2 linked regions of the Oryctolagus cuniculus genome follow. The protein of the gene in region 1 interacts with the protein of each later gene in a biochemical or structural test. Links are inferred from orthologs where the notes say so. Each region holds a gene or a part of one and is shown in the gene's direction. Other genes may lie near its edges.

Region 1 (6,018 bases):
CAAGCATCTCGGCACCCCACAGCAGCCCCTTGGGTCAAGCAGCTGCGCAGCCTCTGTTCTTTGAAGCCCCAGGGCTGGTGTGCAGTGGTTGCCATTCCTGGTTTGGGACGCAGCCAGTCTGGGTTTCAGTCCCGGCACTGGCACTTGACTAATTGGATGACCTTGGGCCAATCCTTCCACTCCCACAGCCCCGGTTCCCAGTTGGCAAAGTGGGGTCGCAGCAGGCGCCTGTGTCCTAGAGCTGCTGGGAGCGCACGCAAAGCCCAGTGAGGCCCCATGAACGAACAGCGTATTAGCGTGGGCCAGGGAGCGGATGGAGGAAGAGGAGACCATGGCAGGTTCCCAGGCAGGAAGCAGAATTCTTTGCCATGAGGTGTCCCAGGCGTGCGTGGGCCCCCTATTCATGAGCTGTCCCATCTGCCGCAGTGCCATGCCCCTGAGCCTTAGATGGCGGCCGTGTGGGAAGTGGGCCCTGCCCCCATCCCATGTCACCCCGCTCTTCTCTTGCTCTATGCTAAAAGGAGAAGTCAAGTGAGTTCCCCCAAGGGGTCGGCCGCGCCCCTTCCTGTCCCCGCCCTGCTGGCTGCGCCAGGCCAGTGCAGCGGCAGCCCCAGCCCCGGCACCGCACCGTGGGGTGGGTGGTGAGGCGGCCGGGCGCTTGGAGCCCAGTTTGAGCCTTAGCTCCAGAGTGCTCCGCCGGCCTGTGTGAGGCTGCCCTCCTTCCTTCCCTGCTGCCCCTTGCTTTCCGGAAGCCCCCAGGATGGTGAGGTAAGCGCTGGGAGCTGCGGTCAGAGGGTGGGAGATGGGGGTGCTCTGGGGCGGCCGAGGGACCTCTCCTCACCACCCTGCCCGGCCTTCCAGGTGGTTCCACCGGGACCTCAGTGGGCTGGACGCAGAGACCCTGCTCAAGGGCCGAGGCGTCCATGGCAGCTTCCTGGCTCGGCCCAGTCGCAAGAACCAGGGAGACTTCTCCCTGTCTGTCAGGTAGGTGGTCCCAGCGACGCTGCACTGGCCTAGGCCCCTGGAGCCCTCATTCCCTGCTCCCCTGGCCCCGTGCCTCTGCTGTGTCCTTGTCCCACCCCCACCCCGTCCCCCACACCTGCGCAGGCCCCCTCCCCATGGGTTCCCCGGGGGGCCAGACGCCTGGCCTCACGGCTGGTGCCCTGCAGGGTCGGGGACCAGGTGACCCACATTCGGATCCAGAACTCTGGGGATTTCTACGACCTGTATGGAGGGGAGAAGTTCGCCACGCTGACGGAGCTGGTGGAGTACTACACACAGCAGCAGGGCGTGCTGCAGGACCGTGACGGCACCATCATCCACCTCAAGTACCCGCTCAACTGCTCCGACCCCACTAGCGAGAGGTGAGGGCCCTGCAGCCGGCCCCTTTGGCCCGCCCCGGCTCAGGCCTCTGGGCTCCGCTTCTCCCTCTTATGCTGCAGCCTTGCCCTTCACCGGGGTCCTCCTGGTGGCAGGAAGCCGCCCCTCGTGGCGGCCGAGCCCATTGTTAGAAAGCTTCCCTTCTGTGGAACTGAATCTGCCTGCTTATGACCCGGGCCCCTACAGGCGAGCTGTGTGAGCTGGGCTCCGGGCAACCCAGTGAGAGGGGGTCTAGCCCATGGGGTCCCCACAGAGGTAATGGGAAGCAGGTGGTATGGGGTCCTGGAAGGACAGGGCCCTGCACTGTGCTCAAGGCCGACCCCCAGAACAGGGCTGGCTCCTCCCCAGAGCGTGAACCTCACCCAAGGGCCCCAGGGGCTCACCCTGGCCCTATCTCCAAGACAGAGCCTGCTGTGGGCTGCCTAGGGTTGTTTTTTTTTTTTTTTTTTTTTTTTTTTTCATCCTGACTCCTGTTGAAATGCTTCTGCACCTTGCCCCTGTCAGTTTTCAGTCCTTCTGAGATTCATGCCACCAAACCTGTGTCAGTATTTTGGCCCAAGTGACTGGTTCAAACCTAGCAGTGGACAGGGCCGGGGTGGACACGAAGCCCTGGAGAGTGGCTTCCTGGAGGGACGCCTCAGCAGGGCCGCCTGCTCCCTTGGCCTCTCCCTCCCCACCCACAGCTTGCCCCTGTGGTTCCTTCTGCCCCTTTCTCCTCACCTCAAGCCTGGATGGCCCTGCTGGAGGAGACCTTAGGGCTGCCGTGGGTTGTGGATGGCGCTGGAGAGGGGAGCTGAGCAGCCCCTGGGGAGAGGGCTGGGGGCCTGGGTTCACCGGGCGTGGGAGAAGCAGGAGGGGAGGGAAGGCAGTGCTGAGGTGGGGACCCTCTTGGGTCACCCAAGCTGAGAGGCCTGGGTCTCACCCCTGACCCCAGGAACCTGCGAGAGGCCCTGTCTGCAGGCTTCTGAAACCTCTGCCCCCTCTTTGGCCAAGGCCTCCTCTTCCGGCATTTGCATTTGTCCCCTGGATGGCTGTGTCCCTGTCTGTGGTCAGCCTCACATTTGCATGGAGACTTCCTCATCCTGGGGCCCAGGGAAGGGGGCTCGCCCCCTCCCCATTGCCTGGGGGCCCTGGGCTGCCCCTGGGTGGTGGTAGGGAGGGGTGGCTTGGGGGCTCATGGGCGGGGTGGGGGACTCTAGGGGGCCTCTGAGCTGGAGTCTTCCCCAGGGAGGGGGTGGGGGGAAGAGGGGACATGCTGGGGACAGGCCGGCCCCTCCCTCCTTCCCCCATCCCTGCGGTTGGAAAATGCCCCCCTTCCCCTGGTGCCGGCTGAGGAAACCTCACTTCTCACTCTCTCCCCAGAAGGAGTTGGTGTTTTTTCCATCACGTGGTTTCCTGTGGGGCTGGGCATCGCGGGGCTATGGTTTCCTCCTGGGAAGGGGGTATACTTCGGGGAAAGGTCTTAGTTCTGTTTTCTGCCCCCTTGCGTCCCTGTGAACCCCGACCTCCCTTTTGGTGACATCATGCTGAGCACCCAGAGCCCCCTAAACCACTGTGTCCCTAGTGGGGCTGTGTCCCCCGCTCCCTGCCCGGTCTCCCCCCTGAGTTCCCCCACTCAGTCTGCATGTCTTTGTCTCTGCTGCCTTTCCCTAGCCCAGACCCCTCCTCCGGAGACTCACCCCTGGTTTCTCCACGGAGCCCCAGTAGTGCCTGCCTCTCCTCTGTCTTGAGTTCTCAGATGGGCTCTGGGTCCAAAGCCTGGCTAGAACTCTTGAGGCTGCCTCTTACCAGTCAGAGGTCTTGGGCCGGTGTGCGGCTGCTCAGCCTCAGTTTCTGCACCTGTCAAGTGGGATCCCAGCACATTTCTGTGAGAGAGCAATGGATCTCAATCCTCAATGTGGTGGACTTGCAAGCATCCAGCTCAGTGCCTGGCACGTCGTGGGCAGTCTGTGAATGCCTCTGCCTGCCCGGGGCCTTTTCCCCGTGACCTGGGTCTCATCTGCCCTGATGCTGCTTCCCTCTAGATGGTACCACGGCCACATGTCTGGAGGGCAGGCAGAGACGCTGCTGCAGGCCAAGGGCGAGCCCTGGACGTTTCTGGTGCGTGAGAGTCTCAGCCAGCCTGGAGATTTTGTGCTGTCGGTGCTCAGCGACCAGCTCAAGAGTGGCCCTGGCTCCCCGCTCAGGGTCACCCACATCAAGGTCATGTGCGAGGTAGGCAGCTGGGCGGGGGCGGGGGGGGGGGGGGCTTGTGTGAGTTCCTGTCCGTGCCCGCAGCGTGGGCGGCGGGGCGGGTCTGCTGGGGCTCAGGTCCGAGGCTTCGGGTCCAGGGATGGCCTTGCTCGGCACCCTCAGGGTGGACGCTACACGGTGGGCGGTCCCGACACCTTTGACAGCCTCACGGACCTGGTGGAGCATTTCAAGAAGACGGGGATTGAGGAGGCCTCTGGTGCCTTCGTCTATCTGCGGCAGGTAAGCACATGGGCCCGGCTGCCTGCTGCCTGCCCCTGAGCCCTCGCGCCTGCGCATGAGCTTCTGAGACCTCCGAGTGGCTGACATATCGCCTTCCCTGACCCCAGCCATACTACGCCACGCGGGTGAACGCAGCCGACATTGAGAGCCGGGTCTTGGAGCTGAACAAGAAGAAGGAGTCGGAGGACTCGGCCAAAGCTGGCTTTTGGGAGGAGTTTGAGGTGCGCGCTGGGCCTCTGCAGGGCTGGGACGGCCGAGGCCTTCGGCGGCCAGCGTGTGGGGTCCCGGGTGGCCACCTTCCTGGCCCCAGGTCTTGTCTGCCCGTGGGTGCCCTCGTAGGGGGGCTGCTCAAGCTCCTCTCTCCCCTTGCAGAGCCTGCAGAAGCAGGAGGTAAAGAACTTGCACCAGCGGCTGGAAGGGCAGCGGCCAGAGAACAAGAGCAAGAACCGCTACAAGAACATTCTCCCTTGTGAGCACCCAGACAGCCCCGCCCCGCTGCGCAGGGTCTACACCCTCCCATTCCCTCCAGGAAGCCACCCCTGCCTCCAAAAGCCCCGACTCCTCCCAGTGGAACCCCCACCCCCACCCTGTGCCCGCAGCCAACAGGCAGTTGCCGCCTGCTCTCACCAAACTCCTCCTTCTCAATCCTCTACCCCACCGCCCCACACAGATCCCCTGCAGCCCACTGTGAGCCTCATGGCTTTTGAGACCAGAATGCCTGACCTGTTAGCGTAGGCAGGGTCTGACCAGGCCGCCTTGCTTCCCCTCTGCCCACTCCCAGTTGACCACAGCCGAGTGATCCTACAGGGCAGGGACAGTAACATCCCTGGGTCCGACTACATCAATGCCAACTATGTCAAGGTCAGTGTGGCAGGTCCCATGGGAAGCCCTGGGGACACAGAGACCCTCGGGTGGAAGAGGGTGGCCGTGGTCGAGGCCTGTCCCAGGCTGCTGAGAGGCTCATGGTCCTGGGGCTGTCTTCTCTGCTTGCATCCAGAACCAGCTGCTAGGCCCCGATGAGAACACTAAGACCTATATCGCCAGCCAGGGCTGCCTGGAGGCCACGGTCAATGACTTCTGGCAGATGGCCTGGCAGGAGAACACCCGTGTCATCGTCATGACCACCCGCGAGGTGGAGAAAGGCCGGGTAAGGCTGAGGCCCCATTGTTCACCACCGAAACAAAGAAACTGAAGATGCCAGGGCAGAAAGGGACCTTAGGGGGTGAGGGTTTAACCCCTGCTGGGAGGAGGGGTGGCAACGCTGTGACGCAGTAGGTTAACCCTCCGCCTGTGGTGCTGGCATCCTATATGGGTGCTGGTTCTAGTCCTGGCTGCTCCTCTTCTGATCCAGCTCTCTGCCATGGCCTGGGTAAGCAGTGGAAGATGGCCCACGCAGGTGCAGGGGCCCAAGGACTTGGGCCATCTTCTACTGCTTTCCCAGGCCATAGCAGAGAGCTGTATTGGAAGTAGAGCAGCCAGGACTAGAACTGGTACCCATATAGGCTGCCGGCACTGCAGGTGGGGCTCAGCTATGCCACAGCGCCAGCCCCAAGCCCCATGTTTTAAACTGTCCTTCCCCTTACCGTGTTTGGAAGCAAAGCTTACTGCTGCCCATTCCCCATGTGTCCCCCTGCAGGCCCCTCTTGTTCTGTCTCATAAATGGCTCTGGAGCCCACCCCTTACTCTCTGGGCTCGCCCTTCCATGGCACCTCCTGTCCTGCAGCCAAAGTGACCCTGCCCAAAGCACACAAACTTGACCCCATGGCTTCCTCTCTGGAAACCCTCTAGTGGCTCCCAGCTGCCCTCCACCTGAGTTTTCAGTGTAAGGCTGGCACCCGTGGCACCCACCATCTCCCGTGGGTCAGGCTCTTCAGGCTTCTGTGGCTTTGCCCAAACTCATTTTATTCTCTCCCCATACTGTCTCTGTCTTGTCTTTCTTTCTTTCTTTCTTTCTTTCTTTCTTTCTTTCTTTCTTTCTTTCTTTCTTTCTTTCTTTCTTTCTTTCTTTCTTTCTTTCTTATTTACTCATTAGGGTCGGTGCTGTGGCCTAGTGGGTAAAGCTGCCGCTTGAGGTGCCGGCATCCCATGTGGGGGCCGGTTTGAGTCTGGCTGCTCCACTTCTAGTCTGGCTCTCTGCTATGGCCTGGGAGAGCAGTAGAGGATGGC
Region 2 (6,473 bases), on another chromosome or scaffold:
CAAGAGTTAGCTCTGCAACCTAATTGCCAGATGCGAGGAGCCAAGTTGCTTCAGCAATCTCAAACTCCGTTTTCTCATTTGTAAGACATTACAATCATTAATAATAATAATAATGTCAACAATTAGTAAGATAATCAGTGCAAAGTTCTTTGCACACGCATGACACATAGGAAGGACTCAATGCATTGCATGTCTTGCAAATTTTATCCTTCTCATCAATGTCAACTAGGTTTCTGAATGGCTGTGTCTATTTTCTCAATGAGCCCATGCATTGTCCAGCTTGGCCATGTTTATTGAACATATTGGCTCTACCTTTATTCCAACCTCTGCTTTTGCTGTTGTTGGTTTTTTTTTTCCTTCTCCTGGATGAGGATGAACATCGTTTAAAGAAAAACATTGCTTCTACTTTTAGAGTTGCTCTATAATGTTCCTTTCAACAGTGTGTTACGAGAGAGAAAGAGAGATTTGTTGATGAATGTCCCAAATGCCCTCCAATCTACTCCAGTCCCCAAGATCCTGCATAAATTCCAGGTAATTCTGGGAAGCTGTCTTTGGTTGGAAGAAATTTTTTTTCCTCTTTCTCTTTTCAAGAGCCCTTTTACCATTTGCTGCTACATGGGTGATTTCAGAGACCAAGTGACTCCTCTCCCCAGGGCAGAGCATGCCCAGTTACTCTTTGGCACAGGACCTGGGAAGGAGCGCTTGGCCTAGACCACCTGGATTGAAGTCCCCAGCACCCACTGAGGTGAGGCTATCACCAGCCCATGCACCATTGTCCAGGTGCCGGGCCTGGGACTAAATGTGTGCCTCACTTAAGCTCGCAACCGGCTAGGGAGGCAGGAGCATGACATGACAGTGGGCTCCTTACATTGTGTATAAGATGTAGAGTGTGTGTGGCCAAAGCTACCCTTGAAAAACCTTCAGGAAGGCACCATGCAGGGACTGTCATAGCATTGCTCAGTAAGGCAACAAAGCTTGATTCTTTCCCAAAGCACCAGCACTGGTGGCTATGTGTGTGTGTGTGAGAGAGAGAGTGAGTGTGTAGAACCGAGTGAAGTAGCTCTATTTTGTTCAGAGGCCACTGCTGCATTGCACAAATGCATTGCCTTTTAGACCCTGGCTTGGCTGTCTGACAACAAGTTGCTCCGTCTATAGAAATGCACAGTCTGAGACTGGTGAAGAAATTAGAAGATTCCTACTCCTGTCTCCAGGGAATGTGCTTTTTGATTGAAACACATGATGTCATCAACAGTGAATAAAACATGAGCTGTAAACACACAGTGGAATCCAAGGCACCAGCTGTAGCAATTGTCACTTCTAGCTTTCTGATTTTTTCATTTGAAGGTTCTCAAGTTAAATGCATCTATTTGTTATGTGTGTATAAGGCAATTCCTCTGCTTTCCTATTTTACATATAGGGAAACTGAGCTCCCCAGATTTTAAGTCCTTGCCTAAGGTTGCACAGCACAGAGAAGCTCCCATCAGAAGGGAACCCGGGTTGGCCCAGGGTAGCGCCTTGCTCAGCCTTGGATGCCTGACGCACTACAGACTCACCCTCTCATTTCAATGGTAGCAGGCAGAGACTGCTAGAGACTAGGGCTGAGAGAAGAGGGAAGAAGGGGCATCATGCATGCGTCCCCCCACACCACAGCTCCCTGTTGCTGGAAGTTGTCTATATTTTAGGTCAATTGTCAGATGAATAGATATTCATCTGCAAAGCCCCAGCAGAGCAAGAACGTGGTGTAGACCCATGGGGTGGGGCTGAAGGGACAGGAGTTTTAACAGCAAAATGCTTGGGCTGGCTTCGGAGTTTAAGCGCCCTTCATGGCCCCTCCTGCTGGGCAGGGGTGCCCAGGACCACGGGCGAGGTGGAGAATGACCTGCCCTGTCACTCTGTCTGCATCTCAAGCCCTCAGAGCTGGGCTTCCTTGTTTACTTATTTAGAAGCCAGCAGAGGAAGTGGTAAAGGAAACTAGCCAAGTCGTTTTCTGAGAAGAGACCATATTTGTTCGCAGAGGAAGCTGCTGCTTTCTGGGATCCGACTACAGCAGAAAAGACGTCTGCTCCAACAAGGCCGATCCAGGGGCAGCTGGGAGTTGGGAGAGCCAAGGACGCCTCCAAGATCTGGATTTGGGGTTCTCTGTCCATGGGTGCAGCATCCACGCTCAACCTGTGAGCCCCCTCCTAAGACAGCGGCCATGGCACTGAGGAACGTGCCCTTTCGCTCCGAAGTCCTCGCCTGGGACCCTGACAGCCTTGCTGACTACTTTAAGAAGGTGAGACCCACTCTTTTGTTGGTGGTCGGGCTGGGAGTGCCCTCCATGGGCTGGGCAGAAGACAAGAGGTGTAAAAGACAGCTGTGGAGTGACTGGCCTCTCGGCAGCCTTGTTGGGAGAGTGAGCGCCATGGGAGACCACTGAGAGCTCCTTGCAGTGAGTTCTGGAGAGGAGGGTGGGAGCAGGAGCTCTTGAATGAGTAGGTGCCTACCATGTGCCAGGGCCTGAACTCGGTACACTGCAGCACTGTGCCATTGATCCCTCTTGACAATCTTCTGAGGTCAATATTGTCATCCCTGTGGCTCAGCTTCAAGGTAGGCTCAAGGAAGCTAAACAGCCCAAAGCCACAGGGACTACAGGTGGTAGTGACAGAAGGATTGGAGTCACTTCTGTGCAGTTTCAGTCTGTGCTCTGAGATGAAGAGAACTACATTCTAGAAAGGGGAGACCTGGTGCTCTGGGTGCAGAACAACAGGCAGGGAAGGAGGCAGGGGTAGAGGGTGAACAACGCTAGACATGGCGTTTGGCCACTCACTGCTCAGGGCCCAGAAAGCTGGGTCCTCAAGTTCTTACATAGATCAGAGTCTCACTGCAGTGGAGCCGGGACCAGGGTTGCTGTCCTACCTTCCAGACTTGGAAGAGATGCTCAAAGATCGTCTGCTTGTCCACCTGCTGGTGGGGATGACAGGACACAAGCCTGCCCGAGCAAGTATGGATCCTCTGTTCCTGTCTCTAGCATAGGATGCCTTGCAGGGGACATTTGCTCTCTTTTTTAAGATTTATTTATTTGTTTGAAAGTCAGAGTTACACAGAGAAAGGAGAGGCAGAGAGAGAGGGAGAGAAAGAGCGAAAGAGGTCTTCCATCTGCTAGTTCACTCCCCAGTTGGCTGCAACGGCCGGAGCTATGCCAATCCAAAGCCAGAAGCCAGGAACTTCCTCCAGGTCTCCCATGTGGGTGCAGGGGCCCAAGGACTTGGGCCATCTTCTACTGCTGTCCCAGGCCATAGCAGAAAGCTGGATCGGAAGTGCAGCAGCCCATATGGGATGCCGGCGCTTCAGGCCAGGGCGTTAACCCACTGTACCACAGCACCAGCCGAAGGGACATTTGCTCTTCTAACATCCTCTTCCCTGCAGGCTGGCACCACATTTAGTTGATACTGCAGACCAGCATAAAGAAGAGCTTGTAGCACTAAGACTTTACATGTCATCTCACTTAACTGTTTTTCCTGGGGAAACTGAGCCCCGCGGGGGTGGAATAGGCTCTCTGGGACACATAGCTGAACCTGAGGTCTCATAGTACCAAGGTATTTGCAGTGATGATGGTTCTTCCCCAGCCTAAAAACAAAAACCTTGAACCAGGTGTGGCATGGTAGGGGCACAGCCCCACAGAGCCTGTCGTTTTCTGTTTCTTGTGCATTTCACTTCTGTTGTCCCCTCTGCCTCCACCCCACACATGTATAAAGTCATAACAAAACTAGGTTTTGGGTTTGTAGATGCAAAGATCATTGGACAACTGGCCCGACTGGCCTTTGAAGAGTGTTTCTAATACTTCTCTGAGATAGGGCGATCAAAGGTAAAATTTGCCCAGATGGAAGTATGTGGTACGTTATTGCAATAAAGAAGGGAGAAAGGAGTTGAGAGTTACAGAGGGAAAGGCCCAGGAGAGGCTGAGGGGCTATTTCAAATGTGGTCAGAAAAATTTCACAACTCAGCTGACCGACAGAGAGTCTGTAGACAAAGTTCCTGTCAGCGCAGGGCGATAGGACAGACTGGAGGGCAGGACACAGCTCTCTGTCTGAGTTCGGGGAAGAGATGATTCTCTTCTTGGAGTTCTAAGACCTTGCAAAAACTGCATAGCACTGGGCCAGGTTCCCCTCCCGGCACAAAAGGACCCAGGTAGGAACAAGGAGGCAGAGGGGAATCTGTGACCCTGGAAGTCCCAGGCCATCTCAGTCCCCAAGAGACAGAACCAGGAGCGCACTGACTGCAAGTTCATTTGGGGATGGATCTTAGTGATCAAGCATACCCATTTAACGCATCAGTGGGTAGGCGTTTGGTGGGTGCAGCTTCTACCCACGTGTCAGGGTCAGGCTTCCCTCAGTGATACCACGCTGCCCAACTCTGGAGTCAGACACACCTTGTTGGAACCCTGGCTCTGCCACCTGCTAGTTTGGTGGCCTTCCCTTAGCTACTTCGCCTCTCTGAGCAAGTCAGTCCTCAAGAGAGAAAACATTGCTCAACACAGGGTCATCTGGGGATGGATCTTGGAAATAAAATGTATCATTTCACGGGTTGATTGGTAGATGATTGGAAGGCAATTGGTAGGCACAAGTTCTACCAAAGCAGGCAATTAAACAGACATGAAGGGTAACAAACCCAGTGGAATGGTTGAGAGGAGTAAAGGAAATAGTGTATGTGAGGCATTCAGCAGACAGAGGTATCAAAATGTTTATTGCTCCCAGTTTCCTGCTGTGTTAACTGGCCACTCATTGGTATGTGGATCGCAGGGCTCTAAGTCTTTTTACCTCAGATGTGTTTCTCATCCTGTATCTGGGATTAAGACCTAGGCCGTGTTTGGTGATGGCTTAATCCCTCCAATTCTTATCAACACGGAGGGACAACACCCCTGGGCCCTGCCCTGGAGAGACACTAGCTCAGAGCGGTGTGCTTGAATCCCAGCTGTGTTCCCAACTTCCCACGTGTCCTTACGCGAGTCCCTTCCCCTCTCTGGGTCTCAGTCATTGAGCCACAAAGCCAAGCAACCTCCACACTAGTGCTTACCAAAGCCAGATGCTCATCAGAATTATCAGAGCGATCCAGGGCCCCTGTTACAAATACAGATTCTAGATCCCCTGGGCCCAGATCTTGCTGGATCAGGTCCCAGTCTTCAAGGCTGCCTGTCAAGCCAGAGTCAAAATCCCGTACCCTGCAAGATTGGAGACTCATCAGATAATGACAGTGAAAATGATGTGTTAGGGCCGGCGCCGTGGCTCAATAGGCTAATCCTCCACCTTGCGGTGCCGGCACACCGGGTTCTAGTCCCGGTCGGGGCGCCGGATTCTGTCCCAGTTGCCCCTCTTCCAGGCCAGCTCTCTGCTATGGCCAGGGAGTGCAGTGGAGGATGGCCCAGGTGCTTGGGCCCTGCACCCCATGGGAGACCAGGAAAAGCACCTGGATCCTGGCTCCTGCCATCGGATCAGCGCGGTGCGCCGGCTGCAGCGGCGGCCATTGGAGGGTGAACCAACGGCAAAGGAAGACCTTTCTCTCTGTCTCTCTCTCTCACTGTCCACTCTGCCTGTCAAAAAAAAAAAAAAAAAAAAAAAAAAAAAAGAAAATGATGTGTTAGAGGCAGTTGACTCTTCTAAGAAGTGCTCGCACCCCCCACACGTAGATAACAGAGCTGTTGAGCTCAGCGCTGCTTGCTTGCTTTCTTTCTTTCAGAAAGCTTTTATTTAATAAATATAAATTTCTTTTTAGATAAAGTTTGGAATATAGTGGTTCTTACCATCATACCTGCCCTCCTAACCCCACTCCCGTCTCACCTCCTACTCCCTCTCCCATCCCATTCTTCATTAAGATTCACTTTTAATTATCTTTATATACAGAAGATCAACTCTATACTAAGTAAAGATTTCAACAGTTTGCACCCACACAGACACACAAAGCATAAAGTGCTGTCTGAAGACAAGTTTTACTCTTAATTCTCATAGTACAACTCATTAAGCACAGAAGTCCTACGTGGGGAGCAAGTGCACAGTGACTCCCGTTGTTGACGTAACAAGAGTACTGTTGCTTTCAGCATCGCCTCACATATTTGTTTTCTGAGTGTGATGTTCATCCCACCTTTCCAAGCCAAGTGGTTACAATTGCGTTTACTTTCGGATTTGAAGGCCATAAGTGAAGAACATGATTGTAAGATGCATGCTTGTGGGAGAACCCAGGATCCTCAGAGAAAAATGTTTAACCCTAAATGCTCTAGTCCAAAATACCAAAGTTGGAGATATTTCAAATGCAAATAGGTATTTCCTATGGTTGGCAATGGGTTTAGGAAATAACCAAGACCCTAAAAACATTCATTCCCATTGATCCTATAAGTCTATCTGAGACTGACTTAAGCCATGTGTTTTAAGTAGAAAGAACAAGATTATGCCAAGGAATATCCATGATGTGCTAGGTCTCACTCTGGATGGTGGATCAAG

Evidence for each region.
Region 2: the proteins of PTPN6 (region 1) and LCP2 form a complex in vitro, tested with the Homo sapiens proteins (2 studies listed by BioGRID). The link is inferred for Oryctolagus cuniculus from reciprocal best matches to the Homo sapiens genes PTPN6 and LCP2.

Annotation. Positions count from the first base shown.
Region 1 is NC_091440.1:102,586,373-102,592,390, reverse strand, and holds part of PTPN6 (tyrosine-protein phosphatase non-receptor type 6), read left to right. Parts: intron 1-590; exon of another isoform or gene 591-760; coding exon of another isoform or gene 761-768; intron 769-861; coding exon 862-984; intron 985-1,169; coding exon 1,170-1,364; intron 1,365-3,404; coding exon 3,405-3,594; intron 3,595-3,735; coding exon 3,736-3,852; intron 3,853-3,959; coding exon 3,960-4,073; intron 4,074-4,224; coding exon 4,225-4,321; intron 4,322-4,633; coding exon 4,634-4,713; intron 4,714-4,849; coding exon 4,850-4,999; intron 5,000-6,018. UniProt on the Homo sapiens protein: Tyrosine phosphatase enzyme that plays important roles in controlling immune signaling pathways and fundamental physiological processes such as hematopoiesis.
Region 2 is NC_091437.1:57,182,723-57,189,195, reverse strand, and holds the start of LCP2 (lymphocyte cytosolic protein 2), read left to right. Parts: upstream 1-1,984; 5' UTR 1,985-2,197; coding exon 2,198-2,275; intron 2,276-6,473. UniProt on the Homo sapiens protein: Adapter protein primarily involved in signaling pathways within T-cells, as well as other immune cells such as platelets, mast cells, and natural killer (NK) cells.